Nothobranchius furzeri: one gene and its partner. The main gene of each other region encodes a partner of the protein of the gene in region 2 in a complex. Links are inferred from orthologs where the notes say so. Each region holds a gene or a part of one and is shown on either strand. Other genes may lie near its edges. The genes, in order: ap1b1 and arf2b.

Region 1 (9,529 bases), on a different chromosome or scaffold from region 2:
TTTTTTGGAGGAGCAACATATTGAATGAGTGATCGGTCGGCCTGCACAAAATAAAGAATTTGCATTAGCATGTAACGTGGTTGGATAATCGGATCTCCTCAGGGTTGTGGTTCTTCTGGCAAAACGTGAGCCAATTTTAAGATGAAAGTCATCATAACATTGTAACAAATTAAGGATGCAGAAGGAACATCCAGGTGTGCTAATTATATAAATAAGCAAAAATTTACTAACTGTTTCGAGAGCCATTTTGTTGGTACACTGATAGTGAATCAATTAATCAATTAATTAATCAATTTCCCTCTGGGATTAATAAAGTATTTTTGAATTTGAATTGAACTTGAATAGCACCTAGCTGGTTAAAAAATGGGGAGCAATGTAGTTCGAGTTAGGGCTGGGCGATATGGCCTCAAATCTATAATGCGATATAATCTGAAGCATGTGCGGTAACGATATATATTGCGATATATTTTTTCCTTTATATGTCAAAATGACATGCTCTTAAATATCCTCATGTGGCAAAAATATGCCACTTGACGCATATAGGCCTCCTCCTCCGCCCACTCCATGCTTGCAGTCACTGCCATTCTGTTGTCCCAATGTCAGCAGGGTGCACATCTTAGTGACGTCATGTGTTATCGCGGTATTGCGATATAGCCAAAAACTCTATCAATACCCAATTTTATATCGTTTCTACCTTATATCGTTTATATTGCCCACCCCTAGTTCGAGTCAGTTTTCATTTAGTTGACAAAATATTTTCACAATTTTTTTGCCTCGGAAATATTTTTGCGGATGAGAACAGAAAAAAATAAAAACTTGGGAGACTAAATCAACGACTAAATTGATCAACGAAAAACAGATGAGAAAAAAATAATCAGTGACAAAAATCCAAACAGAAGACGGGACAAAAGAGCCGCTCACCAAATGGAACAGGTGGGACGAGATAAGAACTAATGAGTCTGGAGCTAGCCGTGGTCTGGTTTTAAGTGATTCATAGTCACTTTTGTTTTATTTAGCATGCCACCATGCAGCTTTTTGTCTGGTTAAATAATTAAACAAATATTTCTAATAATTATAAAGACTTGTTTGCTTTATTAATGTAGAGAGACACAATTTCAACTGTTGATGTGTGTTTTGGTATTTCTAACAATGTTTTTGTTATATATAGTCAGATTAATGTGCCTTTTTTTCCTTTAGTCGCCTGAGACTGAAACAAAAACACATTGGATGACTAAAATAAAAAAAATAAATAAATAAAAATAACGAAATTAAAAGCTCCCATCAAAATGAACACAGTTCTGAGTGGTGTTGCCGTAGAGTGACATCATCAGCAGGCCAGGTCCCAGAGCAGATTAAATGTCTTCTTTTATGAAAATAAAAATATGATCACCTTAAGATTAGACGCAATAGGATTAACTTTATAAACTAAAACTTATGCAGAAATACTTAAAATGCTTGATTATATTTTCAATAAACTATAAAAAGTGAAATCATTTCTCTGAATAATTTCAATTTTCGTGGTTAAAGGTTTCTAAAAAAGTGTGTCTAACACCTAGAATACAGAAGGTAACCATCTATCACCTCAGACTCAACTAGAAGCAATGGGATACTCACAGTGTAGGTGGGGTTTCCTGCCTGCACCCTGAGCTCCGCCAGCACCCAGATGCTGTTGGTGAGTTTCATGGACTGATACAGCATGTCCTGTCCATCCACGGTCCGTTTGGCTATGGTGAAGATGTTGCTACCCTGAAGTTTGCTGGAGGCTGCGTCTGTTAACAGAACATTTATACGTTTAAACCGGCAGCTTGGTTTTATTTCAGTGCATAGAGTCCCTCTCTGATTCCTGGCAAGCTCTGTGGCCGTCTGCAGAAACAATTACTAAATGCAGCAGACCCTGAAGAATTTATTTCCCCCTTATCAGACCCGAAATTTTTTTACTGCAGGTTGTCTGAGAAACAAAGATACAGTCACTAATTTTGAATTAGTGTCTCTGCTCAGCCTCAGTCTTGCTGCTGTACCCCATGAGGATGTGAAATCCTGCATCTTTGTTCAAAGAGAAGAAATTCAATCTGTCAAGAGTAACTCTCCATTAAGCCGTAAAACTAAATTATGACACATAAATAGTGGCTGCAGCTGATGAGCACTCATCAAATGCAGTTTGCTTCATTAGCAGGGATCAGAATTGAGATCAACATGGCTCCAACTGAGCAGTTTCCAACAAAAGTGGCAGTGATGCGTTTTTGTTTTCCGCTCTTCGATCAGACTTCTTACCCGAGTTCAGATGGCAGTCTTTGATCTGAAACTGGGACTCATTGTCATTAGGAATGTCCTTCCATGTGGCGAGGAAAACTTGTCGCTCTGTTGATAAAAAGAAGCCACTGGATGAGTCAATAAAATACACATGGTCAATTCATTTTCGGTTATTTATCCCACGATGCGTTGAAAAACGCCCCAGTATAGTGCGAGTAGTGTAGTTTCTCTCCAGACAAAAGGTGTCCTGCTGTGACTTAGCCTCTGAAGCATTAGCTCACAGCTGCTGGCAGCCGTCCCGCTGCTAGCCCCATCACAAAACTCTACAGGAAGAAATGCCAGCACATTTTCATCCAACAAATCAAACCGCAACACAAAAAACTAAAAATAAAATGGCAGCAGTACAATCTGCCCTGCCACGGGAAGTGACGGAGTCCTCCAGCAGGTGGACAGCCGCGCACGCATCAATCTTTCAGAGACGACTCATTACTCCATGTCTCTGACGTCAGCGAAGCTTCAAGGCTTTTGAGTGAAGTGCTTTAGCAAAGAAACACTCACCCATCTTCCCGTCCTCCACGAACAGCACGCTGATGGGGTACTGGCAGCTGAAGTAAAATACGTCAATGTTGTTCTTCACAGCCACCTGTGGGGGGATTATATCCAGGAAGAGGGGAGGGGGCAACGGGGGGGGGGAATCAACATGACGTCAATTAATACTCAGTTTTTAAGCCCTTTGAAATGACAATTATTCTGAGTTTGTTTTAGGGTTTCACTAAAAATCAGCCACAACGTGAACAAAATCTCAGAGAAAATAGAAAGATGATCTGAAATCCATCTGCTTAAGTTACTTTTTTACTGGCAGTAAAACAAAGCTGTGAAAATCTCCAGAAGTTTATTCGAAAAGATGCTTTACAGATTCATAATCAAGTGACTTCATAATTAGATGGTCTTGTCAGACCAAATAACTTCACATTTATAAAGAAAACTGCACCGGATCTTTAATTTCAGACTTGAAAATCGTTTCCATCACAAACATGGTGAACAAAGCCAACTATAAAAAGATCAACAGCATTGTTGTCGCAGGTAAACTGTCCCGCTCCGCTGATGTGAAGTAGAGGTTGCGTCCCACTCTTGTCTATATCTCCATGGTAACTCACGCTTAACACCGACTATCTGTCATTTCCCTGCTGACGCGTCTGACTGCTGAAATCTGCCACGACTTTATTTCTGACATGAGATGTTAAACATCAGATTATGATTAAACAGATAGAAATTTAATCACCCGACCATCTGTTGGCATTTAAGCACCAGTTTTGGCTATTTTAGTCAGGGGCTCTGAACTCTTTACAACCGAGTCAACAAAAACGTTTTCATTCACTTTATTTGTTTCTTCTTCTCTTTTGTTCTAATAAATCTGAGAAGATTCCTTTAAAAATGACCTCTGGTGACCTGAGTTTTGCTTCTCTATGAGGCAAATCCTGGATCAGTAATAAACGATGAAAAACGGTCCTGCTACGTGGTTTCTGTGCCGAGGACTTCACTGATCCAGCTGCCACAGGCGTTCATCTGGCTTCATGCTTATTCAACAGGTGAAAAATAATGGATTCATTTACTCGAACAAGGCTCTGATGAGAGAATTAAATCCATCCGAGGGTTGTCTGAACGCTAGAAAGAATAAACTCAAGTAAATGATAATGACCCGCACTTGTATAGCGCCTCAGAGTAAGGACTCCAAAGCGCTTTACACTAGTGTATCATTCATCCATTCACACACACATTCACACACTGATGGTGATGAGCTACGATGTAGCCACAGCTGCCCTGGGGCGCGCTGACAGAGAGGCTGCCGAGTACGCAAACCTGCAACTTTCCGATTACTGGACAACCCGCTCAACCTGTTGAGCTACTGCTGCCCCAATAAATCAAACCTTTCGTACGGAGGAGCCCGGTCTATTTCACAGATTGTTTCTTTCAGGTATTTAAAACCAAACCAAAATGTTAATTAATTCTTCTTTTTGCTTCTAAAAGCAGAAATCTCTGTTCGGGTTTTTAAAGAAACCATTGCAGGTTGTTGAATGCAAGTTAATTACCAATTAACGTGTCTTTATTAGAGACCACCTCTCAAAGTAAGACGGGCAAGAGACTTGTTTTTACAGACTAAACATATCAAAACTCATTCATCTATAAAAAGCTTTTTCTGAAAGCATCAAAAAGAGATTCAAATAAAACACAAACAAGTGGAGGTCAGAAGAGTAGGACTTAGTAAATGATGACTGTTAGCATTAGAGCCCTGGAGGCTTCGGTACAAGACGTGAGAGCACATGTTTGTTTAAAGGAGACATCTGTAATAAGCAGCAGACAACACGGATCAGCCTGCTTTATAAAGAAGTGCAGTTCAGCCAAGGATGGGAGACGAAGGACTCATAAATAATTCATCCATGCAAGAAGCTGTAAAGCTCTCATTCACTCGTTAGGTCAATAGATTTGAAATGGTCTCCGACTTAAATGATTGCCTTGTGAGTCGATCTCTGTGGGGGAAAAAAAAGCTCTGGTGTTTCAGTTTCAGGAACTAGAAGTTAGCCGGAGGAGAAAATGGAAGGATTTATAGTCTTACTCATTATTAATCCAGATTTTTGAACATCTCATCTCTGATTGGCTAACAGCAACACTACCACTGACTTTAAAACTATGTTTTAACCAACACAAGCATGAAGGAGTTCTGCTGTGTGGTAGAGTTGCTAATGCTAACAGTTAGCTTCTACTAGCAGACACGTTCTCTGCGGTTTCCTGGATGCTAAACCAACAGCCTTCCCCGTCATGAGCCAAGGTGGGTGAGTCCATGAATGTTAATTTACAGTGTGACGTAGATCTGTCAGGATTTTCTAATCCTTGCATCCCCTCGTCCATTTTGTTCCTGCGGCTAATGCAGGTGATAGGAGTAGAAGACCATTTCCTTCTTCAGCTTGCATGTTTTCTTCGAGTGGCCAATTGTATTTAAAACCAGTAAAAAAGGGTATCTCAGTGAACCTGGGCGGCTAAAAGGTGCAGCACTGCTAACGGACATTCAGCTTTCAAGACATTAAAGCTCTGAAATAAAGCATCGCTGTGTCCTTCACTGACCAAGAGGTCCTCATACAAGTGCAAAGAATGGATACTTCATTTGGAATATTTTTCCATGTTTAAATGTCACACTCCACTAGATGCAGCCAAGTTCTCAAGTGTGTGTTTTTATTTGAATATTTTGATTGCTGAAAAAGGCCCGCACATTATATTAAAATTCAGTAGATCAAATAAATAAATAAAACAAAAACAATGACAAAATCTAGAGATAATAAACAGAAGGACTGAATAAGTAATGTAGGCTGTCTTCTGTTGCACCTGCTCCGGCTAACCCGGCTAATCCACAAGGAAATCATTAAATGGTGATTAAGCATGAAATTTTAGAGAGAAAGATCATAAATGCTAATCAGCAGCAACAGTCATGCATTTAACGAGAAAGCTGATTGTGATGCTTCAAACCAATTAAAATGATGAGGAGTTGAGATCAACTGGTTCAGTTCAGCTGGTGATGATGTGCTGATTAGTCACATTGGATGTTTAACGCACATTTATTGGGCATGTCAAGATGAATCTGAGATGAGCCAGATCCAGATGTTTTGGGTTTACATTTACGTAAGCACAGAACAATTGTGATGCATTTTATCTGCTGTGTCCTTGCAGAAGAATTAATGGCAGCTGAACAGCCAACCAAGGGCACCGAATCGTGTCCCCTAAACCTGCTGATTTGATTATCCAAGATGAAGAGCTATGAAAAAAACTGTTCTGACATTTCTTTAAACAAATATGAAAGGGCTTAATGGCTCCGTGTGATAGATAAACCTAGGAACCGGCAGAACAAATCATATTTGGGAACCTGTCAAATCAGACAGCTGGTCCCATCAAAACAGGGCCAGGAGGCAGCAGAGTAGAAAGGTTAGCAGCACCACTGAGGCCTAGTTAGACAAAGGAGCCATGTGTCGACTAATGACTGTCCTAACCTCCATCATCCCTCCTCACTCTTATCTTCTCTCCACAGCTGCAGCCGTCCACCATTCTGCCCAGTTAAAAGGAACCACCCTGACCAGAACCAAACAGACACCAGCTGTTTTTTTTTTTTTTTTTTTCAAATAACCTTTTGAAACAGTCTGTCTTTTTCATATTTAAGCACAGCATGGGTGTATAAGAGCAAAGGTGCATTACAGATTGGCAGACTTTCAGGACACTGACTCAACAGTCTCACTCTTGCGTAACAAATCTCTATCAGTCATCATTTCTCCGGTTTAGACCGACATCCGGTAATTTATCCAAGTCGCGATACTATGGAGTCAAAATTAAATTAACTGATTAAACATAAAACGTCTAAAGTGATTTGTACAAGAAGCGGCACAAGCACAGAGGGGATAATTCACCTGCAGGTTGTTGAGTGGATCCATCTTCATAACGGGTCCAACAGTATTCAGGGGAAGGGCCACCTCAATGGTCTGGTTTGGGCTCAGAGGAGTTAGAACCTGGAGAGGTCCAGCTGGAGCGATGCCAAAGCTGCAGAGAAACACAAAGTGGATAAAAGGGTCAAAAATCTGTTTTTCAAATGGTGACTAGACAGTTGGCACTTTTAGCACCCCCTAGTGCCCGTTTGTAGAACCAAAAGCAAATCTCATCTCCTTGCTGTGCGTTCAACATTTTTACACCTTAAAGGGACTTTACAGACTTTTGAATTTTTATGCTCGTGATTGCCCCCTCAGGCCAAAAGCGTAACGGCAGCTTCAATAGTAGGCTCGTGCACGAGGCGTGCATGCTGTACGTGCACACTCCTTGACAAAAATGACAGCTGAGACAGTCCTGTGTGTGTGTGTGTGGGGGGGGGGGGGGGGGGGGGGACAGGAGAACGCGCAGCTAATTAAATGGTAAAATGGTAAATGGCCTGTATTTGATATAGCGCCTTCTAGAGTCCTGGAACCCCCCAAGGCGCTTTACAACACAATCAGTCATTCACCCATTCACACACACATTCACACACTGGTGGGGATGAGCTACAATGTAGCCACAGCTGCCCTGGGGCGCACTGACAGAGGCGAGGCTGCCGAGCACTGGCGCCACCGGTCCCTCCGACCACCACCAGCAGGCAACGTGGGTTAAGTGTCTTGCCCAAGGACACAACGACAGCGACAGACTGAGCGGGTCTCGAACCTGCAACCTTCCGATTGCGAGGCGAGCACTTAACATTTATGATCTTTCTCTCTAAAATTTCATGCTTAAATAATTTGGTTCTGTACCTTTCTCTTCAGCACAGCCGACAAAGGTTTATGATGGGTCAGTCCTCCTGCATGCTCAGATCATTCCCTTCCCTTGCTTGGAAAGTTGTTCCAAAACGAAAGTTGAACCCACATCTTTTTTATCTGTGAATTCAATGCCGTTCGGCGAGTCTCAAATAAAAATTTGGGCATCTTACGGAAAAAAATATACCATTAATGTAAAAAAGAAACTCCAAATAAATTATGTTCACATCCAGAATCGGACCCAGGTCTTCTGCATGGGAGTCAGACATCTTACAAGGTGAGCTACACTCTAGTAGCATTGACACTCTCTGTAACTTTTATATCCTTGACGACACCTGAAACAACGTCAAACCAAAGAACGGTTCGAAACGAAAATGGCTATTTTGTTGCTAATTTGCAGGAAATATCTAGAAGAAAGTTCTACAGAAAGTAGCTAAGCGTCCTCAGAAATGTAGCTAGCTTTGTCACTAGGCATTAGGAACAGCGACAAAGTGGCACTACCTCACTCTCTGCTGCTAAAGCTACTGATAGCAAATGCTACGGGCGATGCCTGAGCGTGAACGCGCATGAAGCAGCCTGCTCGACCCGAGCATCTCTCTTTTTCTGTGATCTTACAGAAAAACAGGCAATCACAGTAAAAATGCCAGGGCTCATTCTACAGGACCAGGGCATTGCAGTAGAATGCATGTAGAAGAAATGTATTATTTCTATACATGTTTGGGCTGTCAAACTTCCATAATATCCCTTTAATCCAACAGCTGAAACGTCTCCCAGCCCTCATTAGTGTCTACAGGAGTGATTCATCACTAAATTAAACAAATCAGCTGTGCTCATGATCTAAAACATGCAGGAAACGTGCTGGAAGCAGACTGTAGTGCCAGATATGTCAGCTCATTTTATTCCATTTCCAAGTCCACTAGACCGGACCGACACTCCAAAGTTGCAAATGAGGTATTCTGGCCAGAGGGCTGTGGGGGTCTGAGTGACACTTCATTAAAGGGTCATTTTAGCACATTTTAGCTCAAGAAAATTATTTAAAAATATGAACAAGTTGCAAAGTATCCCTTTAAATGAAAATAGCTGTAAGATAAAAGCTCTTCCTACCTGTTTCTGTTGAACTGGATGGCAAAATCAGTCATGACGCTCATCGCTTTGTTGATCAGGGTCATCTCCATTTGGATGATTCCGGCCCGGCGGGCAAAAGTGCCGGATATTTCCAGGCCCTTTCCCTTCATGGCTGGGAGCCAAACCTAAACAGAGAGGCTGGTTTTAAAAGCCACCCATGATGAACTCCTTTAGGGAATCATTCCAGCACATGGACTCACCGTTTTGGGGGGGTTGTAGGCTCCCATGGGCATCCCAACTCCACCTCCAAGATCAAACAGGTCATCCAGGCCGCCGCTAACAGGAGCGCTGAACGAGGCTGGCGATGCGGCTGGAGCAGCACCAAAACCAGCTCCCATCTGTGGGTCACAGAGAACACGTGAAATGGTGCATTGCATTAGCGATGAAGGCCTAAGAAAACTAGAAAACGACTTACAGCAGAGCTTCCTCCAAGGTCTCCGCCAAGCTGAACACGAGGAGAAAGGAAAAGAAAAACTCATTGTGAACAAAACATCATAAATGAATAAAAGTTGATGTTAAAACTACAGGATCTTCTGAGGGGGTGGAGGAGGATGAGAGGAGGGGTGGTCTGTAACAAATAACAGTAGGGAGATGTCTGCAGACAAACCCAAGTGATTGGTTTCATTCAAATGCAGCTCGATAACTTTGTCTTTAGCGTTTTAAAGACTAAAAACAAAGATCAAACCTAAAGAGAGACGGAACACTGGAACCCTAACTAGATGGAGCAGGAAAACAAGCAGAGCAACACAAAGCTACCGAGAGGACATGGGACAGCAGAGGGACAAGTGGTGTTGAGCTCTAGGCTGATGCTGGCCTTTACTGGTCCAGCGTGCTCCTCC
Region 2 (10,182 bases):
CTTTCACCGGAGCACAATGGCGTCATGGTGGAGAATAAAGAGTTGCACCTGTAAGCTAATTACTTCGTTAGCTGCTGGGAGTTACTTGTATTCATTGGCGTAGCAACAACAGTAGTGATGGTGATTTTATTGCCTTCTCTGTCCATCTTTGTCTCTCTCTCTCTCTCTCTGGACACAAATAAAATAAACATCTGAATGCATTCTATGATAAAATGAAAAGTTTGCTAATATTGGTTAAAGCATAATATCTTTTTTCTCTGTTAAATCTTAGCCTACTTTATTTGATATTAAGGCTTCACAATTCTGGTTAAAATGAGAATTACGCTTTTTTTGTGCTAGGAATTGAGATCTCGAGTCTCAATTTTTTTCCAAAATAAATATTTATTGCACTTATTACCTGCACATCAACTTCATAACAGCTGTCACTGAACATGAAAACAAATGTCTCTCGTCTCTTACATACATAACTTTTGAATTATTTAAACATTACAAACTTTGAACAATGTTCTCTCTGCTTGTAAGGCGATGAGAGGTAGGTGGTTTGTTTCGTAAAATGTAAACCACATTTATTAACAAAATATAACATTTAACATGACAACATAATTGTTGACCATTGCAGGACCACAACAGAACATAATCCTTTTCTTATCCAGCCAGCTGCTTAAAATCGTTATCATTTGGAAATGAAATTGCATACAAGTATGAACTGAGATCACACTTTTGTACGATATTGTGCAGTCCTATTTGACATAACAGATTTATTACTTTGGTAAATAAAATAACTTTTATATATTTTACCTTTAAGGTAAAGCAAACCCTCAGAGCGGTCAATTGCTCCCCGACTGCTGATGTGTAGACCAGTCATTCAACAGAGACATACCTAGGTGTGTCCTGCCATTTCCCGAGTGAAGATTAGAACACGCCAGTGAAGATGGAGTGAAAACGAGGATTGTTTATCCACACTAAGCTTAGCTGGCTAAATATTTTCTGTGCACTCCTGCCACTTCCACCTCATTGGAACGCATCTTCTCTGCAGCTGGAAACATCTGCTCTCAGACGAGCAAGCCTTTCTTCAGAACATGTCTAAATGCTAACTTTCCTGACTGAACAAGAGCCTTGAGTAGAAAAATAAAGACTATTTTAGCTGGATACATTTGTGAGCACAAGTCATTATGGTGTACAATTTATTTTTGGTTTTTAGGTACCTCCATCTGACTAGCATTTGTATTAACAGGTTACAAAGTTAATTAAAAGCTGTTTGATAAGCTGTCATCTTGTCTTTATTATTAGATGGCACATAACAGATCACACTTCACACGAGAAGCTAATGCCACCATTACATTGTTACTAGTAGAAATGTAATATTATATCCAATAACTTATTACTGAACATGTTACTGAAATAATTCACTTCTGCTCATCAGATGTGAATAAATTTAGATAGGTTTAGACTAGGACGAGTGATAATAAACCTCAAGTTTTAATGAAATATATAATCAGCTGGGAACAAGGGAACTAAACAAACCAATTTCGTATTGCTGATCCTTTACATTTTGTTGTTTTATTTGGATCATTTTAGCAGCAGCCTACAATCTAATTTCACTTGAAACATCAACTAAAATATTTAATGAATTGATGGACGATTCAATAGAATATTCAAATACTAAATATTCAATAGCTGCAGCCCCATAATTAACTCCGTCCTCAACTGGATGTGATTTTAAAGAGCAAGTCACCCCCAAATCCACTTCTTTTTTGCCGATAAACTATATAAATGAGTGTCTAACCATGCTGTAGACGCATGCAGTCAATAATTTGGCACTTTAGTGCATCTTAGTTCAAATTTAAATATTCTGCCTAAACTGTCATTGTTGCACAGTTGTCAGGTAAAAACTCTGCACTGCATTTAAATTTTATCTGCCATTGCTATAGTCTAAGAAGTATACTATGATGTCAGCTGGTACATTATGAGGTCACAGTGTCGTGTGTGTGTGTGTGTATTTGTTAGCGGCTTCGCCCTTTCAGTCTGCCAGGCAACAGCATTTTTCAAACAGGAAGTGGGAGTGGAGTAAGACTCTGGCAGGGGTGACTTGCTCTTTAAAAACCAAACATCTCAGGATTTTAAATGTAAACAAACCTAATCACAGACAATCTGATCTGGTGGGAGTGAACCTAAACACAGACTCTATGTAGTCCCAGTATCAGATTATCCCAGCACAGACGTGTGTTACATCACATCACGTACTAGAAAGTCTATTAAGACAAAACACATACAGCTAAACTGTTTTTATGTTGGGAGGAAAAATGAATAAAAACAGTTCTGATTATTGTAAGAAGTGTTACACAGATGCTGACGTTTCTGTCAAGCTTAGACAACATCACTTCCTGTCCTAGTTACTATGTTTGGGAAATGTTACATGGCCTGTACACTTCCTCAAAATGAGTTCAAATATTTCAACCCTCCAGTGGAAGTCTTATTGGAAGCTTGGCCTGTACAGTAGCTGGAGCTCATTAATGCAGCTTAAGTACCAGCGGCTGGCTGGCTGTGTTGACCTTCAGCTGAGAGCAAAAACAGATAAAAACACAAAGATGCATGACTCAGTCTTTTCATGGCAGCCACGTCCACAGCCTGCCTCCGATTTATTATCTTAACAAGACTGCAGCAAGCAGCAACTTTTCAACAGGTGAAATCAGAATTAGGACCAAATCTTCTGTCTACATATAAAATTATTACCGGAGCTGTAATTCAACGTTGCGATCTGTTTGAAACTCATTCTCTTAAGTGACACTTTTGACATCATCAACATATTCAACGTTACACTCAAGACAAAGAGCTCACTCACACACAGCTGACAAAATTGGAAGGAAAAACTAAGCATTTCTGCTCTACAGTGCTGTTTTCTGATCAGTGCCATCACTGGACAGGAGACCCACTTCACGCCAAGAACAGAATGAAGCTCCATGAGTCACTGGTTTGAAACTCATACACACACCAATGAAGCAACCTATGGGCAGTAATGCTCAGCAACATACAGCCAGCTGAAATATAGTACACCCTCTCACCTTGAGTGTTCTGGAAGTAGTGGCGCCACAGCGGCCTGATTTTATCCTGACCGCCCACATCCCAAACTGTGAAGCTGATGTTCTTGTATTCTACCGTTTCAACGTTAAAGCCTGCACACCAGAGAAGGAAAGATGGTGAGGCATCAACAATTTTAAAAAGTGTTCACAATTTACCAACAGTGTGTGTACAGACAAGACAGGGTTGAGGAGCTAACATTCGTCTCTGAAGGTTGAACATTAGAAAAATGACCCAAAATCTGTGCAGGTATTTTAAGACAGTTATTCTTCTGAAAAACTCTAACTCATCAGTTGGTCCACAATTATCTAAAATTATATTTGGTACAAAAATAATCCTTATAACATAAAAGCCTGAAGATAAGCAGCCTTCCAACAAGAAGAATAACCAACACTACTGACAAGAGGTTGACCAATAATGGTTTTTCTATTGCTGATACCAATGCCAGTATGTAGGAGACATGATCTGCCGACAGCTGACACGTACTGCTGATTTTTATTGGCATTTTCATGGCCTATATCCAGACATTTTCCATCTAATTTTACTGAATTTAACTAGCTGTTAAATATCAACTTTGTGCATGGTTCAGTGTTAAAGTCAGACAACTAAATAAAGTTAATTTAGAGTACATATTATGCTGATGTTATCAGCAAATGTAAAAATACATTTAAATTAAATTCTGCAACAGCACCGAGCTACCAGAGGTTGTCCATGTTGTAGTTCTTTTTAAACACAGAGTAGTTTTGTTTACCTGTTTTCCCGCTACGTTTCGTTTGCGGCTGCAAACTTCGACGCAGTTTGCAGCTGCAAACGAAACGTAGCGGGAAAACAGGAACACAAAACTACTCTGCGTTTTAAAAAGAACTACAACATGGAATTAGAAATACTACACAGCAAGAACAAAGATGTTACCAGAGGATGTGCTTGACTATAAATTGGCCTTACAAATATAAATCTATTGATGTATAAAAATGGTAAATAACAGCCCAACATAATGCTCTACCCCTACTACTGACATGAATAAATAAATCCGTACCAATGGTTGGAATGGTGGTGACTATTTCTCCAAGCTTCAGTTTATACAAGATTGTTGTTTTCCCAGCAGCATCGAGCCCAACCATCAGAATTCTCATCTCTTTTTTGCCAAACAGGCCCTTGAATAAGCTTGCAAATACATTCCCCATGGTGACAAAGCTGTAAGAAACGGAAACTGTTAAACAGGGTGACACATAGGTAGAAAAGGATGAAATGTAGTAAACTTATCTTAAATAAAATCTAATTATCCAATCCAACATTCTAAACAACACTTTAAATGTAAGGCTGTTAGTTTTTTGCAGCACCAGAAGAGGGAGCATCATTAGGAACATAAGTTTTAAGTCAAACAGAAAGACTCCAGAAGGCATTTCACAAAAGGCAATACAGCCAATATGGAAATGACAGGTACATACAGAAATGTGTTCTATAGAAGTTGGGAGACAAAGGTTAATGGTGAAACTAGGAACCGTTTTCAACTGAGTCAGGGTAAAAAGAAAAGTTGAGTTCGCGTTAAATATATTCGAGTTTTAGCTTTTGGGTAAACACTAAAATATTCAATCCATGTGTTCCTCAATTAACTTTTAAGAAAACAAAACTCTGAAAAATTAATCTTAATTCATCAGACTTGATCACCTGATCCAACCATCTCGTTCACCCGGATTAGCCTAACAGCTAACTAACCCTTGATTAGGCCTGCTCCAGATGGGAAACTCCGGTTGGGCAAAGTGTTATTGTGCGTGAAAGTAAACAGCAGCTCGACATCCAATCCAACTTAATCTAACAGAGGTTTGATGAGTGTTTAAGAGAAAAATAATAACAGAAAAATCCTGTATTACAAATTATAACGCAACGGGTAGCTTTGGATGTTAGCTTCAGCTAAGCGCTATTAGCTTCACTAAGGGCGGATGCTTCAGCTAGCCGATTGTGGACAACTATTCATCCAACAAATGTTTTAAACAACACATAGCGACACATTATGAAGAAATGTAACGCTGACATAATTGACAAGTACCAGTGGAACTGATGTTCAGCTCGTTGAAAAAAATCGCCGTAACAGATCTTAGATCACCAGTTACAGGAACTGATGTAGCGCGCTAGCTACCATTAGCTAATTGCCGCGTCACTGCTAAGCGAACACCATCACGTAATGTTAAACGCCACTCAAACCGAGTCATTTGAATATAGTAACAACCACCACGCGTTAGGCTATTTAAGGGTACAGAGATGAGCGTGTTTCTGAAGTTTGTTACCTCTAACGACACAGCTTCTCGATCTTTCCGTTACCTTTTACTGTCACTCCAAAATGGCGTCTTGCGCAACCAGGGAGACACCGGCGTTACGAGTGCTTCCCACTATCAAGTTATGGCCAATCATAGCGCCTATGGTGTAAGTGAGAGCCCGCCCCCGTCTATCGGCGAAGCAATCACAGCGGCGGAGGATCGACGTGTGAAAAGTGCACAAAATGTCGAGGAAGTGATGCGAGGCGGACAAGTTGGTCAAGTTTCTAATCAGGTTGTATGGCAGGCCTCAAGTTTCTAATCAGGTTTATGGCAGGCCAATGTAACATATAGTCAAAATATACCTGTTATACCGGTTTTTATAAATGCTAAACTTTCATCAATAATTTCACACGGTTAAGTCCAATAATCCTTTACACAGTAATAAACATATATCTAATTAAATATGTCAAAAACAAAATCAAGTAAAAAACAATGTCTCCACAACAGATACTATAAAACACCTCAAACTGACATTAGAAGACCCTAGTAAGTAGACCCTAGTAAGTAGACCCTAGTAAGTTTCTTGTAATGGAAATTCTTTGAGAAATACCGGTATGTACAATGTTTATTTCATATATGTCAAAAAATAGTCCAAATCATGTAAGTGGAAGAATGAATGATTCTTTGTTGTTCTGTTTGAGAGCCAGCAAACAACAAGCTGACATTTTCAACACAGAAAGGGTAGGTACTCTGAGCTGCTTTTGGGCACATAAGGAAACTTTCATTCTCTTGGGTAAACCTCAACATACAGGTTGACAGTCTGAGGTTCACCAGCCGCATCGGGTCTTCGCCTTTCTCCAGTGATGAAGAGAGCTCAACGCCAGGAGCTAAGGCTATTGTGTAGAAACGTGTCCATCTATATCCAGCCAGTACTGCTCAATCTCTTCCACAAGTCCCAGCTCCTTCCTTGTCATTCCATGTTCCAAACATTCAGGATCCAACTGCTAGCGCTACCACCTCGGTCTGGCCAACACAGACCCATCATGCTCCTCTTGCAGGTGGTGGGTCCACAAGTAGACAAGTCCATGACACCAGAATGCTAAGCCCAGCCATCAGGCATTCGCACGGGCCCAACACCTGGCTTGGTTTCAGGGTGGCCACAGTAATTTTCCAGGCCAAATACTGTTGAAGGATTTTCTGAGCGAGATTTGCTCTTGCCATGGGAGTCGGGAAATGAAAATCTCAGTCAAAAGGTCAGGTTCCTTCCGTTTCTCATATCTTTAAAGTGGCATGGGCAAATCTGCTAAATTATTCTCACCTCTCCTGTTGGCTTTCATCCCTAGGTCATGTTCCCTTGCTGAACACCAGTCATAGTTTCTAGGTCTAAACAGCTTTTGCTTTCCACAACTTAAAATGGCATTTTGCTTTTTATTGGGGGGGGGGGGGGGGGGGGGGGGAATGGCAGCTTCAAACTAGCTAGGGGTCTTCCTCCAGCAGCGGTAGCCACAGTTCAGAGTTCGAGAGCTTACTCTAATACGGGCTTTTATGCTTATAAATGGAGGGATTTTGAGCAATGGAGTCTGGTCAGAACCATGGTTCCTTCGTAGAGCTCTGTTGTGGATGTGCTAACGTTTCTGCAGGAGTTGCTGAACAAGGGTTTGTCCTTCTCTACTTTAAAGGTTCATCTGGGGGTGGGGGGAGCCAGGGGCTGACTGGGACGAAAATTCAACCCTGGAATATCTCCAGAACTCACAGATGGCCAGTCCACCCTGGGTAGGCCCACAACCTGGCGTAATTTGCCTTCTTCAGCCAGGCCACATGTGGCGTGACGTCCCATATACCACTCGTTCCTCTTCTTCAGGGAACAGTGGTTGCATAACTTGGAGTTCATACATGGTTAACTTCACATTACTCTAACAGACAGACCTTTAATTACAAAGTCACTCACTTCTGTACTAGTGCTTAAACATTCACAATAGGATGTTCTGACAAATAGAAAGCCTGAGACAAAAATAAGGATCTATAAAACACAAAGGCCTTTAGATAATGATTTTCTTATTGAGTAATAAATAGGGCTGCGCAGTGGAGCAGTGGTTAGAGCTGTTGCCTTGCAGCAAGAAGGTCCAGGGTTCGCTTCCCAGCCTGGGGTCTTTCTGCATGGAGTTTGCCAGGTACTCCGGCTTCCTCCCACAGTCCAAAAACATGACTGTTAGGTTGATTGGTCTGTCTAAACTGTCCCTAGGTGTGTGTGTCTCTGTGTTGCCCTGCGATGGACTGGCTCTCTGTCCAGGGTGTACCCCGCCTGATTGGCCATTGACCGCTGGAGGTAGGCACCAGTGCCCCCCCCCCCCCCCCCCCCCCCCCCCCCCCGTGACCCTGCGTGGACAAGCGGGCTCAGAAAATGGATGGAGTAATAAATAACCAGAAATACTCAAGATTTAAGGATTTTAAAAGTTTCCCATGAAATATAAATCTTAAAACACACCCGAATACACAAACATTTTAACTTTTAGTAGTGAACATGAGAAGACTTTAAAACGATGGTGGCAGAGGAGTTAAGTGACTGCCTTGCAATCAGAAGTTTGCAGGTTCAATCTGAGCTTAGTCTGCTGCTGTCGTTGTGTCCTTGGGCAAGGCACTTCACCCACATTGGCTGATGGTGGTGGTCGAAGGAACTGGTGGAGTCTGTGCTCGGCAGCATCTCCTCAGTCAGTGTGCCCCAGGGCAGCTGTGGCTACACACGCAGCTCATCACCACAAGGGTGTGAATGGGTGAATGATTGATTGTGTTGTAAAGTGATTGGGGGCATTAGGACTCTAGAAGGTGCTAAACACAGGCCATTTATCTTTTAAGGATTCTCTTTTGTAGAAGGATGGAAAATTAGCAGTTTTTAAAAAGCTAAAACGTTTTGACATTCCACAAAAGGCGATACAATATTTTGAGTTTGTATGATTTAGCCGTTTCCCTGCTCCAACACATTTGATTCAATGGTTGAATCACCTGTTCAGCAACTCATCAAGCTCTGAAGACGCCGGTTGCTCTGCTGCTGATTAAAATCAGGTGTTTTAGGCAGGAAAACAACCAAAACAAGCTGGATAGTGACCCCAGGACTCAGACTTCCAGCATATCTGTTAATGTTAGAGGTCAAAGGTCAGAATAGTTGGAATTTACTAAAAAGGCTTTAGAAACGCTAAACCAGCTCAAAATGCTGAACTAGTGTGAGCAGTTTCCCAAACAAACAACAGGTTTTGTATCCATGTTAGGACCAGAAATCCAAGGCTGTAGTTTGGAAACGTGAAGCCTGATCTGATGAGTCAGCAGATGGTTGTTCAAACAGGCGCCGCTCCAGAGCTGCTGGATGTCCTCTAATCAGAGGAATGTTTTCTCCTCAACAGCCAGCAGCTCAGTGTCTGAAACACGTCGGAGGATTTCTGCTGTTTACCTTCTCCTTCTGCAGAATTCCTTGTGGATAAACCTTAAAATCCAGCCCTACATATTGATCCTGAGAGTTGTTTGCTGTTTGTCACTGAATCTGGTCCGTTTATGTGCTTCAGGCTTTAAGAAAAACAAACTAACAAAAAAACAAAAAAAAAAAAACAATGGTTTCAAGAAGGATTTCTTCTAAAATGAGCAGCACCAGAAACCGTCTCATTCCCGGAGCTCCAGCCTGCCGTCCCGGATCCTCCACCTCCAGCGCTGACATCTATCTGGAGCAGGAACACAACGGAACCACGAACCAGACTCCTCTATCTGCTCGTCGAAGGACACCGTCTTCCTGTCCAGAGTCTCCAAACTGAAGGCTTTCCCTGACATCTGAGAGACAGGTGGGAGGATTTAGGATCAGATCAAACTGAAACGTGCCATCAGCACAGAGCAACCAACTCTGTAGGCTCAAGGGCTGATGTACTTATTAATCAAACGTTCTGAATTATCTAAAACCGAGTTTCACCAAGAGTCAAAACAGACATTCTTCAGTTAACTCATTTAAATAGAGGCAGAACAATGCAGGTTGTCAGTAAATCAGTATTTAAAGGGGCGTTTCAGATATTTCCAAGTATTTTCTAATATAACTGTCAAAAAAATAAACCACATCAAATTCCTCACAGGTCACTATAGTGACTGACCCCACCTCCATACCTGATCACTGATTCCTATGGCAACGTGACCCACTTTGACCCGGCGATGTTCTCGGATCCTCAAACAATCCCCCTGAGTGTTCTCGATCCAGATGTCAACACCTGGAAAAGGCCATGAGATGTTTATTTGATATCCTCTGTGATAGGCGGACTGAGAAGGACTCCTGGTTTTACCCTCAAAGCAGCAAGAGGACGTCTGATTGGCTGACATTAACCACTCCACACGTGTGTCCGCTTGGCTGTTGCAGGAAGAGAAGACACCAGAGCTGAGGTCATCAGAGGAATGGTCAGAGTCCTTAAAGAGGAGCAGAAATGTGACATTAGGAGGGCTGAGATCCTCACAGCCTTGTTCTCACTCCACCTGTCCTTACCGTCTCGGATTTGTTGATTTGTGAGGAGTCAGAGCAGCTCAAACAGGATGGTGGCTCATCTCGAGGCTCTGGGGACGGAGTCGGGAACATGGTGCCTACAGGTACATCTGAGGGCATGTTGTTTTCATCTTTATTACATTTATAACAAAGGCATCTTCACAATCGTCATTCACCGTCACTGACTGATTAAAGTCTACATGATGAGATTTAAGACATAAAAGCTCCTTAAACCCTTCAAGGACAGATGGATAAAACCTTTCATGTCAGTTTTGGGTTTATCGAACTAAAACCAAAACAATTATCCACCGGGTTTCTATAACTCACCTTCTCTGAGGCCTTCCA

The links.
Region 1: the proteins of arf2b (region 2) and ap1b1 are in contact, whole or in part, in a cryo-EM structure (PDB 7R4H), measured with the Homo sapiens proteins. The link is inferred for Nothobranchius furzeri from reciprocal best matches to the Homo sapiens genes ARF1 and AP1B1. Residues at the interface, in NP_001019397.1 of Homo sapiens: Glu17, Met18, Tyr35, Ile46, Thr48, Ile49, Gly50, Phe51, Asn52, Val53, Glu54, Thr64, Trp66, Lys73, Leu77, Arg79, His80, Tyr81, Gln83, Asn84; in NP_001118.3 of Homo sapiens: Asn23, Asp25, Pro52, Asp53, Val55, Asn56, Met58, Gln59, Met83, Ile85, Met86, Ala87, Val88, Asn89, Thr90, Val92, Lys93, Tyr121.

The regions. Positions count from the first base shown.
Region 1 is NC_091757.1:46,123,547-46,133,075, reverse strand, and holds part of ap1b1 (AP-1 complex subunit beta-1), read right to left. Parts: intron 9,136-9,529; coding exon 9,106-9,135; intron 9,029-9,105; coding exon 8,891-9,028; intron 8,816-8,890; coding exon 8,670-8,815; intron 6,829-8,669; coding exon 6,699-6,828; intron 2,894-6,698; coding exon 2,809-2,893; intron 2,359-2,808; coding exon 2,272-2,358; intron 1,770-2,271; coding exon 1,615-1,769; intron 1-1,614. UniProt on the Homo sapiens protein: Subunit of clathrin-associated adaptor protein complex 1 that plays a role in protein sorting in the late-Golgi/trans-Golgi network (TGN) and/or endosomes.
Region 2 is NC_091756.1:54,219,771-54,229,952, reverse strand, and holds the start of arf2b (ADP-ribosylation factor 2b), read right to left. Parts: upstream 5,527-10,182; 5' UTR 5,398-5,526; exon of another isoform or gene 5,364-5,397; intron 5,171-5,363; exon of another isoform or gene 5,126-5,170; intron 4,273-5,125; 5' UTR 4,263-4,272; coding exon 4,115-4,262; intron 3,174-4,114; coding exon 3,063-3,173; intron 1-3,062. Other genes in the region: mitogen-activated protein kinase kinase kinase 14, read right to left, coding at 8,982-9,146, 9,471-9,571, 9,644-9,764, 9,841-9,947, 10,165-10,182. UniProt on the Homo sapiens protein: Small GTPase involved in protein trafficking between different compartments. Modulates vesicle budding and uncoating within the Golgi complex. In its GTP-bound form, triggers the recruitment of coatomer proteins to the Golgi membrane.